3 linked regions of the Oryctolagus cuniculus genome follow. The protein of the gene in region 1 interacts with the protein of each later gene in a pairwise test. Links are inferred from orthologs where the notes say so. Each region holds a gene or a part of one and is shown on either strand. Other genes may lie near its edges.

What was found.
Region 2: the proteins of UBE2D4 (region 1) and RNF25 interact in binary tests that used the Homo sapiens proteins (3 or more experiments, as listed by UniProt). The link is inferred for Oryctolagus cuniculus from reciprocal best matches to the Homo sapiens genes UBE2D4 and RNF25.
Region 3: the proteins of UBE2D4 (region 1) and RFWD3 interact in a two-hybrid assay, tested with the Homo sapiens proteins (2 studies listed by BioGRID and IntAct). The link is inferred for Oryctolagus cuniculus from reciprocal best matches to the Homo sapiens genes UBE2D4 and RFWD3.

The regions. Positions count from the first base shown.
Region 1 is NC_091447.1:51,536,937-51,541,473, forward strand, and holds part of UBE2D4 (ubiquitin-conjugating enzyme E2 D4), read left to right. Parts: intron 1-1,233; coding exon 1,234-1,265; intron 1,266-1,338; coding exon 1,339-1,416; intron 1,417-4,537. UniProt on the Homo sapiens protein: Accepts ubiquitin from the E1 complex and catalyzes its covalent attachment to other proteins. In vitro able to promote polyubiquitination using all 7 ubiquitin Lys residues, but may prefer 'Lys-11' and 'Lys-48'-linked polyubiquitination.
Region 2 is NC_091434.1:20,769,015-20,774,302, forward strand, and holds the end of RNF25 (E3 ubiquitin-protein ligase RNF25), read left to right. Parts: intron 1-818; coding exon 819-893; intron 894-1,143; coding exon 1,144-1,246; intron 1,247-1,335; coding exon 1,336-1,403; intron 1,404-1,497; coding exon 1,498-1,567; intron 1,568-2,619; coding exon 2,620-2,709; intron 2,710-2,808; coding exon 2,809-2,946; intron 2,947-3,216; coding exon 3,217-3,309; intron 3,310-3,561; coding exon 3,562-3,696; intron 3,697-3,829; coding exon 3,830-4,405; 3' UTR 4,406-4,485; downstream 4,486-5,288. Other genes in the region: BCS1L (mitochondrial chaperone BCS1), read right to left, coding at 4,861-5,110, 5,215-5,288. UniProt on the Homo sapiens protein: E3 ubiquitin-protein ligase that plays a key role in the RNF14-RNF25 translation quality control pathway, a pathway that takes place when a ribosome has stalled during translation, and which promotes ubiquitination and degradation of translation factors on stalled ribosomes.
Region 3 is NC_091449.1:57,218,256-57,222,792, forward strand, and holds part of RFWD3 (E3 ubiquitin-protein ligase RFWD3), read right to left. Parts: intron 4,405-4,537; coding exon 4,176-4,404; intron 1,250-4,175; coding exon 1,099-1,249; intron 1-1,098. UniProt on the Homo sapiens protein: E3 ubiquitin-protein ligase required for the repair of DNA interstrand cross-links (ICL) in response to DNA damage. Plays a key role in RPA-mediated DNA damage signaling and repair.

The DNA of each region.
Region 1 (4,537 bases):
GCCGTCTTCTCTCACTGCTCGCAAGCCCTGCTCTGTCACTCAGGCGTCCAGGTGACCTGTTCACCAAGGTGCGCTCCTGTTACCTGGCGCTCCCACGGGCTCCTGTTCTGACACAGGGCGGCTGTCAAAGCCCTGTCACGGCCGTCGAGGACAGAAGTCGTCACTCAGGTGGCCTTAGTGCACAGGGGCCTTCTCTGCCGCCACGTTTCTCTGGGCCGGGAACTTCTGTTTAGTCCCAGCGCTGTGACCTGTGACCTCACCCCACGCCCCAGCGCCCTCCTGGTCCCGCTGTCACGGGTGGAGCTGGTCGGGTATTTGAATTGGTGATGGGAAGCCCAGGCCACAATAAGCCTGAAGCCTCGCGCCGATTCCACGCCCGTCCTGAGTCCAGTGAGAAGCATTTCCCCAGAGGCTGTGGACCCACTGCCCGGGACTCTCAGACGTGGGAGCCAGGGAGCGCACGGGAGCTGCTCTGGGCTGGGCAGAGCAGTGCCGACCCGAGACCCCGCGGAGGAGCGGGAGGTGTCATGCCCAGAAGGCTCTGACCCGTGGGGGAGCCCAGCCTGGCTGCTGCAGGGAGAGGTCTCCTCTCGCCTGGTCCCCGAGTCCGGGTGAGCCAGAGAGGACGCAGGCGGGGTGGCCCTGGGAGGCCCCATGGCCATGGGCAGTCAGATCCTGAGAGGGACTCCTGGGAGGGGGCTTCGAGTGAACCGAGTGAAGCCAGGGGAGGGAAGGGGTTGTCGAGCCGCGTGCAGAGTGGCTGAGGCTTCGGTGCCCTGCAGAGGGGCCGAGCGTCCTCAGACTCTGGGCGTGGCTCCGAGAGGCTTCTCCTGACAGCAGCGTCTGGCTGCCTGGGACCTCGGCCCCCACCAGCGGGGAGACTTAGGGTAGACGGGCCAGCGTGTGGCCTGTGGCGATGGCCTGGTCCATGGAGGGCCTGCACTCGGCGGTCAGCGCGAGTGGCCCTGCTTGTCGGTGTCAGCAGTTTGGCCTCACGGGCCGAAGGTGACGCAGGCTGTGCAGCTGGCCCCCCCATGCTCCTCTGCGTCGTTCCCTGTAGTGAGCCCGGGGTGAGCGCAGCCGCTGTCAGCTCGGGGAGGTCGAGTGAGTGACTGGTCCCACGGGTGGTTCAGGGAACCCCACTCCTGCCTGGCGTCGGAAGTGAGGGCGGGCCTGGCGGTAGAGCCCACTTGCCAGCTGGGCCTCACGTGCCGTCTCTCTTTTGTCTTGCAGTGTTCCACTGGCAGGCCACCATCATGGGCCCGGTACGTTGAGCTCCAGTTTGCGCCTCGTCCTTGTGCGTGGCGTGGCCACTGATCTCCCTGTGTCTCCTTGCAGACGGACAGTCCCTACCAAGGAGGGCTTTTCTTCCTGACCATCCACTTCCCTACGGACTACCCTTTCAAGCCCCCGAAGGTGAGCAGCGCAGCACCCAGTGAAGAGAGCTGAGAGCCGCGGCTCCCGGGACGCCAGACCTGGACTCGCAGAGCGAGAGGGGTCAGGGTGGGGAAGGGCTCCCGGGACGCCAGACCTGGACTCGCAGAACAAGAGGGGTCAGGGTGGGGAAGGGCTCCTGGGATGCCAGACCTGGACTCGCAGAGCGAGAGGGGTCAGGGTGGGGAAGGGCTCCTGGGATGCCAGACCTGGACTCGCAGAGCGAGAGGGGTCAGGGTGGGGAAGGGCTCCTGGGAAGTCGCGCTCCTGCGGCTGCCGCAGCTGCTGTGACACCTGGTCGTGCCTCCAGGCACCGGCTCCCCCTGCAGTGCCTTCCAGCCCAAGACCAGGCTGTCAGCTAAGACGATTTGCCCGGAACGCGCGTGTGGACAAATGCTGGGATACTTCGGCTCACCAGACTTGCTGTGGAGGGCGGGGCTTGCTGCTAGTGTCTAGTGGGTAAGAGCCAGGGGTGCTGCTCCGGGACAGCCCCCTCCCACAGCAGAGAACGTTCCAGCCCAGGAGTCAAGGGCCAAGGTGGAGACGCCTGGCCCGGGACTCTGCAGATGGGTTCTGTTTATTAAGGTGCCGCTCATGCGCACACCCCGTGGCATGGGGGAGCTGCAGAGACCAGCCCCCTGGACTGTGCCTGCTGGACCAGCTGCCCCGTGCACTGAGGCTCAGAGCCCTGTGGAGCAAACAGGGATGTCGTGCCTAGGAGCAGCACAGGCCGGAGCCCAGCAGCCTTTGTGTGCAAGTGGTCTGGGGTGGGAGGGGCCAGACTGCTGCAGCCCTGGAGTGGGTGTCAGCTGAGGGGCCGACCTGTGACTCCAGAGGAGGGTGGAGTGTGGGGCGGGAAGAGGAGGCCCCGGCTGCTGGGAGGTGGAACCCAGGTTCACGGCCCCTTTACTGCTCTTCCCTGTTTCTGGTTCAGCGGTGGTGCAGGCTTATTTGTGAGCTAGAGACCTAGCGGTGGGCACACGGAGGGCCGTCTGCTGTAGACCCAGCAGGGCCCAGCTGGCAGCCCCACAGGCTCCTCCGGGTCTTCCCTGTGTCCGCCAGTGCACGCCTTCGGTCTCATCTCCAAAATGCGGGAACTAAGGCTCGGAAAGGACGCATCGTTTCCTGAGGTGACGGGCCCGTCGCTGAGGGTGGACCCCCGGCACGCCGCCTTTAGAGCTGTGTTGTGGACTGATTTTAGCTTAGAAACAAGTTGCAGAAATAGTACAAGGGGCTTCCGTGAACCCCTCGCCCGCCTCCGCCGTTGCCAGCGCCCGCGTCACTGCCCTGCCCCGAGCCGAGAGCCTTGCAGCCGGCGTCCTCCGAGGGCCGCGGCGCCCGGCTCCTGGTGACCGGCGGTCACTGCCGCCGTCCGCGCTGGGGCCTCGGTTGCCCTGGTGGTGTTGAGGGGTGTGGCTCTGTCACGGCGTCAGGCCCTCACTTGGGGTTTCTGTGACGTTTTCTCGGGTCTGCGCATGGTCAGGGCGGTGCAGCCTGGGGCGGGAGGCCGCCGTGCAGCCCTTTCTCAGCTGGTCTCGAAGGCCCCGGTCAGTCTGACCTCGAGCCTCTGTTGTGTGGCCGGCGTCTGGCCCTGGTGCTCTGAATCATGTCGAATGTGCCCAGGGTCCCTGAGCCCTGGCAGGGGAGTGGCCGTGTGGCCAGGTAGAGCCAGGCGCTCTGTCTGCTGCTCCCGCAGCCCCCGCAGCCTCTGGCCCTGCCCTCCCCTGTGGGCTCTCCAGCTCAGCTCCCTCCAGCTTCCTCGGGCTCAGCGGACACGCGCCTGGTCCTCTTGGGCATCTCAGGACCCCTGATGGCCCAGGCAGCTGCTGCTAGGGGGCGGGGTTATTTTGACGAGGAGAAACGCGACCTGCGAGGTGAGATTCCACCAGAGAAAGCAGCGCTTCTGTCTCTGACACTGTCCTTGCACAGGGGCACGAGACAAGCTGGACTTGTGTGTGGCAGGCGTTTCCCTGCCACGGTGGTCGTCCTTGTGGACACAGTGAGGCAGATTCTTGTGTCGGAGGCCTTCTGGAAGCAGGCCCGGCCCAGGGACCCCATGGGCGTGGGCGCGTGCAGGGCAGGCGCGCACGGCCCCTCTGCCTGCGGTCTGAAGAAGACGCTCTCCGAAAATCACACGCGTGTGCAGCCTAAAGAACTGGCCGGGCACTCGGAAATTGTGCGTGACGGCACGGCAGGCGCCCGTCCTCCCACGTGGGGCAGTGTTGCCCGCTGCGGAGTGGACTCTGGTCCCGCTCGGGGACAGGCAGAGCTGCCCTGACAGCGTGGGGATGACCCACAAACCCCGCAGCAGCCCAGCCAGGGCTCACAGCCCCATACAGCACGGAGTCGGGGGGCAAGGAGGTTGTCTGAGAAAGTGCAGCTGCAGCTTCAAGCAGTCAGTAGGAGCATGCACGGTGAGCAGGGGTCAGGCAGGGGTCAGAGGTCACACAGGAGGGGGAGCTGGGGTGAGCAGGGGTCAGACAGGAGGGGGATGGGGGGTGAGTAGGGGTCAGGCAGGAGGGGGATGGGGGGGTGAGCAGGGGTCAGACAGGAGGGGGATGGGGGATGAGCAGGGGTCAGACAGGAGGGGGATGGGGTGAGCAGGGGTCAGACAGGAGGGGGATGGGGTGAGCAGGGGTCAGACAGGAGGGGGATGGGGTGAGCAGGGGTCAGACAGGAGGGGGATGGGGATGAGCAGGAGTCACACAGGAGGGGGATGGGGATGAGCAGGAGTCACACAGGAGGGGGATGGGAGTGAGCAGGAGTCAGACAGGAGGGGGATGGGAGTGAGCAGGAGTCAGACAGGAGGGGGATGTGGGGTGAGCAGGGGTCAGACAGGAGGGGGATGGGGTGAGCAGGGGTCAGACAGGAGGGGGATGGGAGTGAGCAGGAGTCAGACAGGAGGGGGATGGGGATGAGCAGGGGTCACACAGGAGGGGGATGGGGATGAGCAGGAGTCACACAGGAGGGGGATGGGGGTGAGCAGGAGTCAGACAGGAGGGGGATGGGGTGAGCAGGGGTCAGACAGGAGGGGGATGGGGTGAGCAGGGGTCAGACAGGAGGGGGATGGGGATGAGCAGGAGTCACACAGGAGGGGGATGGG
Region 2 (5,288 bases), on another chromosome or scaffold:
CCAGGATCATAATTAGATCCGGAGTACTCTGCTAACCACATCCTTCCCTCTTTGCTGTTAAAGGGAAGATTAATGCAAGCAGGGAAAAAGAGAACATAGACTAGCTTCTGTGGCCCAGATCCTCTTAGGTATTTTACATAAACACATCACCTTTAATCCTCAGAGTCACCCGAGAAAGTAGGTGACTTTAGCGGCACGTGGTAGATTGGGAACTCAGGCTTACTGAGGTTAAGTGACTACTCAGACCACGTAGCTGGTAAGCAGTTGGTACCTGTTAGCTAAGGCTGATGGCTCTGCTGCGACACAGCTGTACACTACCTGGATTTCTGTTAGGAGTGGTATCTCCTGGAGAAGGCTTGGCAAGAATGGTGTTGGCAGTGTATAGACAGTAGCCAGGCACTTGGATCCATGCTCAACAGTGCCAAAGGAAAAGACAGGAGCAGCAGTGGAAAGCTGATGCCCATGGATGGATGCCCTGTTTCTGGACCAGAGAGATGGTCAACAAGGGATAACCAACCATAGAGTGAAACAGAATCAGGAAACCTGGCTCGTGTCCCAGCTGTTAAGCCTTGGTTAGTCATTTCACTTCTAGAAATCTGTTTCCTTGTCTGTTGGCAGAAATGACCTGTAAAATCCCCATGCTTCCAACTTGGCCACTTGCCAACTCCGGAAACAGATTTCTCTCATTTTAAATAAGTTTAGCCAGAGAATACATCCAGGCAGATGGCCGTTTTCCTACGAAGCCAGCCTTCATCGGCCTTAGCTGGCTTCAGCGGGGAGAGCTCTAATGGTGAGTCAGTCTCTCCCTGTCTCTCTAGGGTCCTTCCCTCTGAAGTCGAAGTGTTAGAATCTATCTATCTGGATGAACTACAAGTGATTAAAGGAAGTGGCAGGTATGTATTCAACTAGGGGTGGGCAGCAGTCCACTCAGTAATGGCAGGATTCTGTGCAGCTTCTGTTCCCAAGACACTGAGCCCCTATTCAAAGGTTTCCTTTGTGTAGACAAAGGCTATTCCTTCAATCCTCCAGAAAGAAAGCTCAATGTTTACTGCCGCTGCCCACTTTTCTGTCTCACCCCTATCTTCCCAAGTCCTGGAGCCCCTGCCCAGTCACACCCTGGGTCTCCACCTCTTCCACCTGCAGATCCTCACCATGGGAGATCCTCATCACGCTGCACCCTGCCACCGCAGAGGACCAAGACTCACAATACGTCTGCCTCACGCTGGTGCTGCGCGTGCCGGCACAGGTGGGCCCCGACCGCACAGCAGCAAGGGGAGGAAAGGGAGAGTTGCCGGGTGGATCACGTCAGCGGTAATTTGTTCTTTTCCCCACTAGTATCCCTATGAAGTGCCAGAGATCTCTATCCGTAACCCCCGAGGGCTCTCAGATGAACAGATCCACAAGTAAGTTCGGCCGGTCAGAGGAGGGACACCTTGATACACAGCTCTGCCCGGGGAGGGAGGCAGGCTGAATACTGGCTTTGCCCTCTTCTTGCAGGATCTCACAGGCACTGGGCAGCGTGGCCAAGGCCGGGCTGGGCACTGCCATGCTCTATGAGCTCATTGAGGTAAGAGGTACGCTGGTCTTTCCCTTTAAGCTAGCCCAGTTTCTCTCGAGGGAAGCCGTAGGCCTAGAATCTTAAAATACATCTGGAGTCATTCATGTAGTCCTTGTTGAAGGTGAGGCCTAAATTAGCCCAGAAATATGGAACTCTTTCATTTAAAGAAGTAAAATCTCCCCAGAAAACAGTAACTCAAGTTGCCCATTCCAGCATCTCAACAGAAAACGTTCTCTCCTCTGTAACTTGCATTTTACTCCAGTGTTAGCGTGTTTCTTGTTCTCTTGACACTGGCGACCGCAAGTGGCGGAAGACAGGGACCTTGCTGGGCCGAGGCAGCCTGACCCATAAATGAACACCTGAAGGCTAGCCTGGCGGCAGAACCGACCAGAAGCAGTCATGGCGGAGATAGGGCTTTATATCCTGGTTAAGGAGGAACCCGCGCACCCAGAGTTACATAGAAAAATTCTGCTTCAGATTTCAAACATGCAAGTACAGCCTTGTTCTCTTCTACTGTCGAAGTTAGGAGGGTGGCTGGAGTCAGAGCAAGTAGGCTTATTAGACCACTGCAGCACTGCTAGGTCAAGCGTCCACAATGCAGCTTTGAACTTGGTGGAATGCCAGCATGTTGGCTATGAAATGTGTATTTCACAGCCCAACCTGATGCCTTTTAAATTCTCCAGAGCAAAGTCACCGCCCCATGGGGGACTGGAGCCCAAAGGGGGTTCATCAAGAAAGACCCCACCCCAGAAAAGGAGTTTAAACTGGACATTTTCTCTCTCCAATGTCTATTATTTTCACCCCCAAGATTTAATAAAAGTGACTTCATGAGAGGGAAAACAATTTTAAGTTGGATTTTGAAAGCCAGGAAGGGGAAATCTGGGGGGACGAGCTGGGACATGGGACAGGACTGATTCCTAGTCGAGGGAACATCACCAAGACAGAAGTGCACGAACATGAGGGAACAAGCTGGCTCGGTGGGTGCCGAGTCCAGCCAGGGCTCCTGCAGCGGTGGACAGGCCCGGCTCCCGGTGCGAGTCCACACCTCACTGTCTCAGCAGTGTCTTCTCTCCCCTCAGAAAGGCAAGGAAATCCTCACAGATAACAACATCCCCCATGGCCAGTGTGTCATCTGTCTCTATGGTTTCCAGGTGCGTTTCTCAGTGGGGACCTGGGATCTCTTGGGGCCCGGCAGACGAGGGCACGTGAGAGTGCACTGATGCGGTGCCCCCCGTTCCTCCCCCCTCCAGGAGAAGGAGGCCTTTACCAAAACAGCCTGTTACCACTACTTCCACTGCCACTGCCTGGCTCGCTACATCCAGCACATGGAGCAAGAGCTGAAGGCGCAAGGCCAGGAGCAGGAGCGGCAGCATGCTGCAGCCAAGCAGGTAGGTGTCACCCCCCCCCCTTGTCTCGCTTGACATCCTCACTTGTGGATGTCCAGTCCTTCCTGTCCCCCCACTGCAGGGGCTCTTCCCCTTTCTAGGGTCCCAGGGACCCCTGAGGTGAATGAAATCTCCTCTCTTTGTCCCCAAAGCCACATCCGTATGACATGCAGTTGCAGGGGGTGCCCAGGCCTCTCGATAGGCAGCTGCGGCTCTGTGCCAGCCCTGTGCTCTGGACCACGAAGCAGACCTGTGATTTCTCCTCTTTCTTAGACGGCGCTCGGTGTGCAGTGCCCCGTGTGCAGAGAGCCTCTTGTGTACGATCTGGCTTCACTGCAGGCAGCCCCTGAGCCCCAGCAGCCGCTGGTGAGAGCATGTCCTGCTACTCTGAGCCGGGAGTGAGGGTGTCCTCTGACGGGGGGGGGGAAGGGCATCTCACCTCAAGTGCACACAGTGCCTGGAATGGAGCTTGAGCTGCCCAAGGCCCTCCTGGGATCCTGCCTCTGGGGGGCCAAAACCAAGACCCGGCACGGGTGTCCTGAGGCGGTTAGACAGGAAGGGGCGGGAGTCCGCCGCCCTGTGCCCGCTGTCTCCTGCCAGTCTCCTGTGTCCTTCCAGGAGCTGTACCAGCCCAGCGCGGAGAGCTTGCTGCAGCAAGAGGAGCTCAAGCGGCTCTACCAGCGGCAGCAGGCGCGGGGGGGCATCATTGACCTGGAGGCGGAGCGGAACCGGTACTTCATCAGCCTTCAGCAGGTGAGAGCAGGCTGTCCCCCTCTGCCGCGGCCCTGGGGTGAGCGGTGGCCGAGAGCACAGGCGGCCATCAGCTGATGGAGGGTGGCGATGGCCGAGGGGGCCTGCAGTCCTGCATCTCCTCCCCCCTCTCCAGCCTCCTGCCCCTTTGGAGCCAGAGTCAACTGGAGAGGTCTCCAGAGGACCGCACCTCCCCGGGGCCCCTGCCGCAGACCAGTCTGCCTCACCAGCTGCCCAGCCCACCCTGCCAAGTCCTCTGCCGGGGGCCACCCAGCACGTGTGTGAAAAGATTTCCGGGGCCAGGCCGAACCAGAGATTGGGTGAGACCCAAAAAGCTATGCTAGATACCCCCCGGCCCAGTCGGGGCCCCTGGCGACAGTCGAATCGGAAGCACCTGAAGGGAGGGGAGTGCCGAGCCCCCAAGGGGACCAGAGACGCCCAGGAACTGCCACTCCCTGAGGGAGCCCTCAAGGAACCCACGGATTTAAAGCCGGAGCCCCACAGCCCAGGGGTCGAAGGTCCTCCCCAAGAGAAGGGGCCTGGCAGCTGGCAGGGGCCCCCGTCCCGCAGGACTCGGGACTGTGCCCGCTGGGAGCGCTCTAGAGGTCGGACACCAGGCTCTTCGTACCCCCGCCTGCCTCGGGGCCAGGGAGCGTACTGTGCTGGCACTCGGCGGGAACCTGTGGGCCTGGAATCTGAGGATGGGTCCTAGCGCTACTGGGTGGGGGCAGGGGGCACGGGAGGGGGGGGCAATAAAGAGACTTGGCCTTGTTTGGCTTTCTTTGCTCAGCAGTGCCTAGCCTGTGGAGTATGGCTCTTTGTAAATTCCTAACAAGACTGGGCTGTGGCAGGGTGGCCCCCAACTTGGCTCGAAGTCTGTTCTCTGCCCACTAGCGAGATGTCAACACTTGGGCAGAGACCACCCTGACATGTAACTCACTGCATAGGTACGCACATCACACATGTACTTAGTTTGGATGCCTTTAGGTGGAGGCACGTGTCCCCATCATCTGTCTCCGTGGTGGCCTGACCCTGCGGGCCCTGCGATCGCAGCCCCTGCTCTAGCAGGCACAGTCCAGGGAGGAAGCAAGGGAGCTCAGAGACCAGGGGAGTGTGGGCCGTGTTTATTGGAGTCCTGGCTGGGCAGAGCTGCACACCGCCTCTCAGTCACCTCAGGGTCTCAGTGTTGTGGATCGCCCCTGTAGGATCGTTTTTATGCAGCATGAAGTAGCCTTGTACCTGGGCAGGGCTGATCTCGTTTGTAGCCTTAAGGACACGTTCTGCAAAGGTCTCGGCCAAGGAAGGTGCTTGCCCTGGATAGAACCTCTGGAACATCTGGGTCAGCTGCCAGTGTGAGCAGTAGCCCACGTACTCCTTCAGGTCGACTCGTCCAGGGCGGATGAGGGCAGGGTCCAGTCTAGGAGGAGGCAGGGGAAGCAGAGTCATAGGCTGCTGCATCGGAAAAAAAACTCGCCTTCCCGACCCTCCTGAGGCACTCGGGGTGGTGCCCCCTCCCCTCACCTGTCAACGTGGTTGGTGGTCATGAACACAATGCGTGCCTCAGTGGAAGCCACGCCATCCAAGGCATTGAGAAG
Region 3 (4,537 bases), on another chromosome or scaffold:
ACCAGCAAATGGAAGATACCTTTCTCTCTCTTCCATTTTCTCTGTAACTCTAACTTTCAAAATAAATAAATCTTAAAAGAAAAAAAAAAGTGTTTTACAGTGCTCACAGAGCATGTAAAAGATAAATAATGGTACCCAAAGACAGCTAGAGCCTAGTCTTTTCTTTTTTAAAGAATTATTTATTTATTTGAAAGGTGGAGTTACAAAGAAGGAGAGATAGAGAGAGATCTTCTACCAGCTAATTCACTCCCCTAATAGCTGCAACAGCCAGGGCAGGGCCAGGCCAGGCCAGGCCAGGCCAAAGCTAGGAGCCAGGAGCTTCTGCTAGGTCTCCAGTAGGTACAGGGGCCCAGGCACTTGGACCATCCTCTGCTGCTTTCCCAGGTGCATTAGCAAAGAGCTGGATCAGAAGTGGAGCAGCCAGGACTGACTTGCACCCACTTGCGATGCCAGCACTACAGGCAGTACCTTAACCCACTGTGCCACAGCACCGGCCCCAAGCGAGTTGTTTAAATTTTTTTAATTTATTGTTTGAGAAAGAGAGGGGGATAGACGAGAGTGAAAGAGTATGAGCTTCCAACTGCTTGTTCACTCCGTAACTGCCCACAACAGCCACAGCTGGGCCAAGACAAAACAGGAAGCCAGGAACTCAATCCAGGTCTCTCATTTGAGGGGCAAGGGCTCAACTATTTGAGCCATCATTTGTTGCTTCCCAAGGTATGCATAAGCAAGAAGCCTCTCTGATACAGGATACAGGCGTTCAATCAGCAATTTGACTGCTAGGCCAAATGCCTGGTCCCAGTGAGCATTTTTGTTAGACACAATTATCCAAGTCACAGATTAAGTTGCAAGTTGATAGGGTAACTCCATAGTGTCAAGTGCCAAAGCCCCCCTCCATTGTTATTCTATCATTTGCATGGTTTAGGATATATTTTTGAACAAGCATAATCTTAAAGAAATGGAATACTACCTAAATACTTTTGTAAACTGCTATGTGCACTTTGAAAAGCATCACACAGGCCATCATAATACTGACAGCAATTCAATGCTGACGGCACTGAGCAGCCTAGGCTCCATTTTCTGTACTGAAACACTCACCTGGTCAATTTAACAGTGTTGTCCAGGGAAGCAGAGAGCAGCAAGCCTTTGGATCGGGGGTTGAAAGCCAATCCACGTATCTGTTTGCCATGCATTGGAATGTACTGACTACTTTTCATGTTGGCTGTACTCAGCATCCTAACACCAAAGCCTGATAAAGAAAAGACAATATGAAATAGATTGTTGAAAGCCAACGTAGGGCAAAGGATGTACCTGTCATAGTATGTAAACTCCCAGGAATCAGCGGATCAACGAAAGTAAGAATTCCTCAGTGTTATAATTTATTTTAAAAGGTATAATTTGGGGGCCGGCGCCGTGGCTCAATAGGCTAATCCTCCACCTTGCGGCGCTGGCACACCGGGTTCTAGTCCCGGTCGGGGCGCCGGATTCTGTCCCGGTTGCCCCTCTTCCAGGCCAGCTCTCTGCTATGGCCAGGGAGTGCAGTGGAGGATGGCCCAGGTGCTTGGGCCCTGCACCCCATAGGAGACCAGGAAAAGCACCTGGATCCTGGCTCCTGCCATCGGATCAGCGCGGTGCGCCGGCTGCAGCGGCGGCCATTGGAGGGTGAACCAACGGCAAAGGAAGACCTTTCTCTCTCTGTCTCTCTCTCTCACTGTCCACTCTGCCTGTCAAAAAAAAAAAAAAAAAAAAAAAAAAGGTATAATTTGGGGCCGGCGCTGTGGCTCACTTGGTTAATCCTCCGCCTGCGGCACTGACATCCCATATGGGCGCCGGGTTCTAGTCACGGTTGCTTCTCTTCCAGTCCAGCTCTCTGCTGTGGCCTGGGAGGGCAGTGGAGGATGGCCCAAGTGCTTGGGCCCCTGCACCCACATGGGAGACCAGGAAGAGGCACCTAGCTCCTGACTTCGGATCGGCGCAGCACCAGCCGTAGCGGCCATTTGGGGAGTGAACCAATGGAGGGAGGACCTTTCTCTCTCTCTCTCTCTCAGTCTATAACTCTACCTGTCAAATTTAAAAAAAAAAAAAAAGGTATAATCTATTCTAAATGTCCATCAATAGATGAATAAACAAACCTATTGTATATATACAAAGCAATGAACTCCCGATACACACAGTAATATGGACAAATCTCAAAAAACTAATTTCTTTCTAAGAAAAAAGCAAGGAAAATAGTAATACAGAGGACCAGCACCGTGGCAAGTTGGTAAAGCCTCTGCCTGCAGCACTGACATCCCATACAGATGCTGGTTCATGTCCCAGCTGCTCCACTTCAGATCCAGCTCCCTGCTGATGGCCTGGGAAAGCAGTGGATGATGGCCAAAGTACTTGGGCTCTGGCACCCAAGTGGAAGACCTGGAAGAAGCTCCTGGCTCCTGCCTTCGGAAAGGCCCAGCTCTGGCAGTTGTGGCCATTCAGGGAGTGAACCAGTGGATGAACGACCTCTCTGTCTGTAACTCTGCCTCTCAAATAAATAAATAAATCTTGAAATAAAAAAGTAATACAGAATCATTTCATTTGTATAAAATTCTAGAAAATGCAAACTAATTTATAATGATTAAAGGCAGATCAGTGGTTGCCTGGGAATGTATCAGTGTATAACATTCCTGGGAGGGAGATAATAAAATGTCCTTTATTGTTACTCTGTTCTCTCACCAGGCTGTAACAACACATTCTATTATTATCTGAGTTATATAAAAACAGAATCTGTCAACTTTTAGATTCAAGATAGCCTTGAATCTCACTTCAGCTATTACAGGGAACCAAGCAGGATGAAGTTTATTGTGTTGTCTCCTGGAACAGAATTAGGAAAGCCAGAGACAAACAAGGGAACCATAGGCTTTAAATCAACAAGGGAATCTGACCACCTACTTAGTTAATCATTAAGAAGAAAAAGGACACATTAGCACCAGCCTGCTATGAAGAAGTTTGCTCTAACAATGAGAATAGACACATTAAGAGAAAGGGATTGGGGACTATCAAAAGAAAAAGTATTTTCCAATTTATGGCAAACTTTTACTTGACGATAAATCTTCTTTATTGGGATATAAGGAATACCATAAACAATCCTTTTACTTTCCCTTAAAATGAGAGGCTATCAGGAGCATCCAACTCATAGCTTATCTCAACCAATACAGAAACACGTCAAATTAGGGATTCCATTCTCGAACTTGTTTATATCTAGATTTAGGGACAAAGCTTTTAAGTATTTGAATGGAACTTTAAAAATTATCTATTAATTTGAGAATCAAAGAGATACAGAGACAGAGCCCCCATCCACTGATTTAATCATCAAGTGTCTGCAGTAGCCTAGGTTGGGCTGGGGCAGAAAGTGGGAGCCAGGGACTCAATCCAAGTCTACACGGGAGGTGGGAGCAACCCATCACTTGAGACATCACCACTGTCTTCCAGGGTCTGCATTAGCAGTCAGGAGCCAAGGCCAGGAATCCAACTGTGAGATATGAGACAGGCTTTTAAACTGCTGGGCGAAATGTCCACTTGAGGGAAACTTCTAAGTGGGGAAACAGAATAAATCAGGCTGAAGTAAAGGGACTTTACAGTTGCTGCTGTTGTGGTGCAATGGGTTAAGCCGCTGCTTAGGACACCACCATCCCATATCAGAGTGCCAACTCAAGTTGCTTCACTACCAAAATGCAGCAGAAGATGGCCCAAGTACTTTACTTGGGTCCCTGTTACCCACATGGGAGACGTGAATGGAGTTCCAGGATCCTGGCTTCAGCCTGGCCTAGTCCTGAATGCTGTGGCCATTTGAGGAGTTAATGAGTGGATGGTATTTCTTTCCTTCTCTGTGACTCTGTAAGTTGAATGGAATATATAGAGAGTGATGGCCTTCTCCTCAGATTATTATAGGTGGCCGAGGCTTCTAATACCACATCTCCCACTTTACTATGATTATTAGTATTTCTACTCCTTTGGTGAACAAATTTACAGACTGAAGGCAGTAGACACTAAAGACTTCCTGATTAATAGGAAGCTGAAAGGAATGGGTAATTTGGTGGGCTGCTGAGTCCTAGAATCTTCAAAAAGGGAGAGGAGAAAAACAAGTGGAGTCCAACGATGAATGCGAAGGGTGAGGTCCTGGCATCTAGCATAGTTACCTGGAAGGAAGGAGGCTTGAGGAGAAGGCTGTGACACCACCAGGCAGCTAAGAGTTTCACAGTATTCCATGATCCGGCAGCTTCCTGTCTGAGACACTGGGAAGGTCTTCTGGAAGTGGTACTTGCGCTGGCCCTGGCTGGAAGACTGGCAGCTCAGGAACTGTGCTTGGGAGCCCCTGAGTCGCTGTAAAGTTTGTTCCTTATGCTGCATAATAAGACTTTGCAAATCCTAAAATGACAATGATTTTGTAAATGCCAGACTTTTTCATCTGATATTCTCTTCAAGCACAATTCCACAATCTAAGATTTCTTATCCATTATATGAAAATGTTAACATCAGTCCCACAAAATTGCTAAATTTA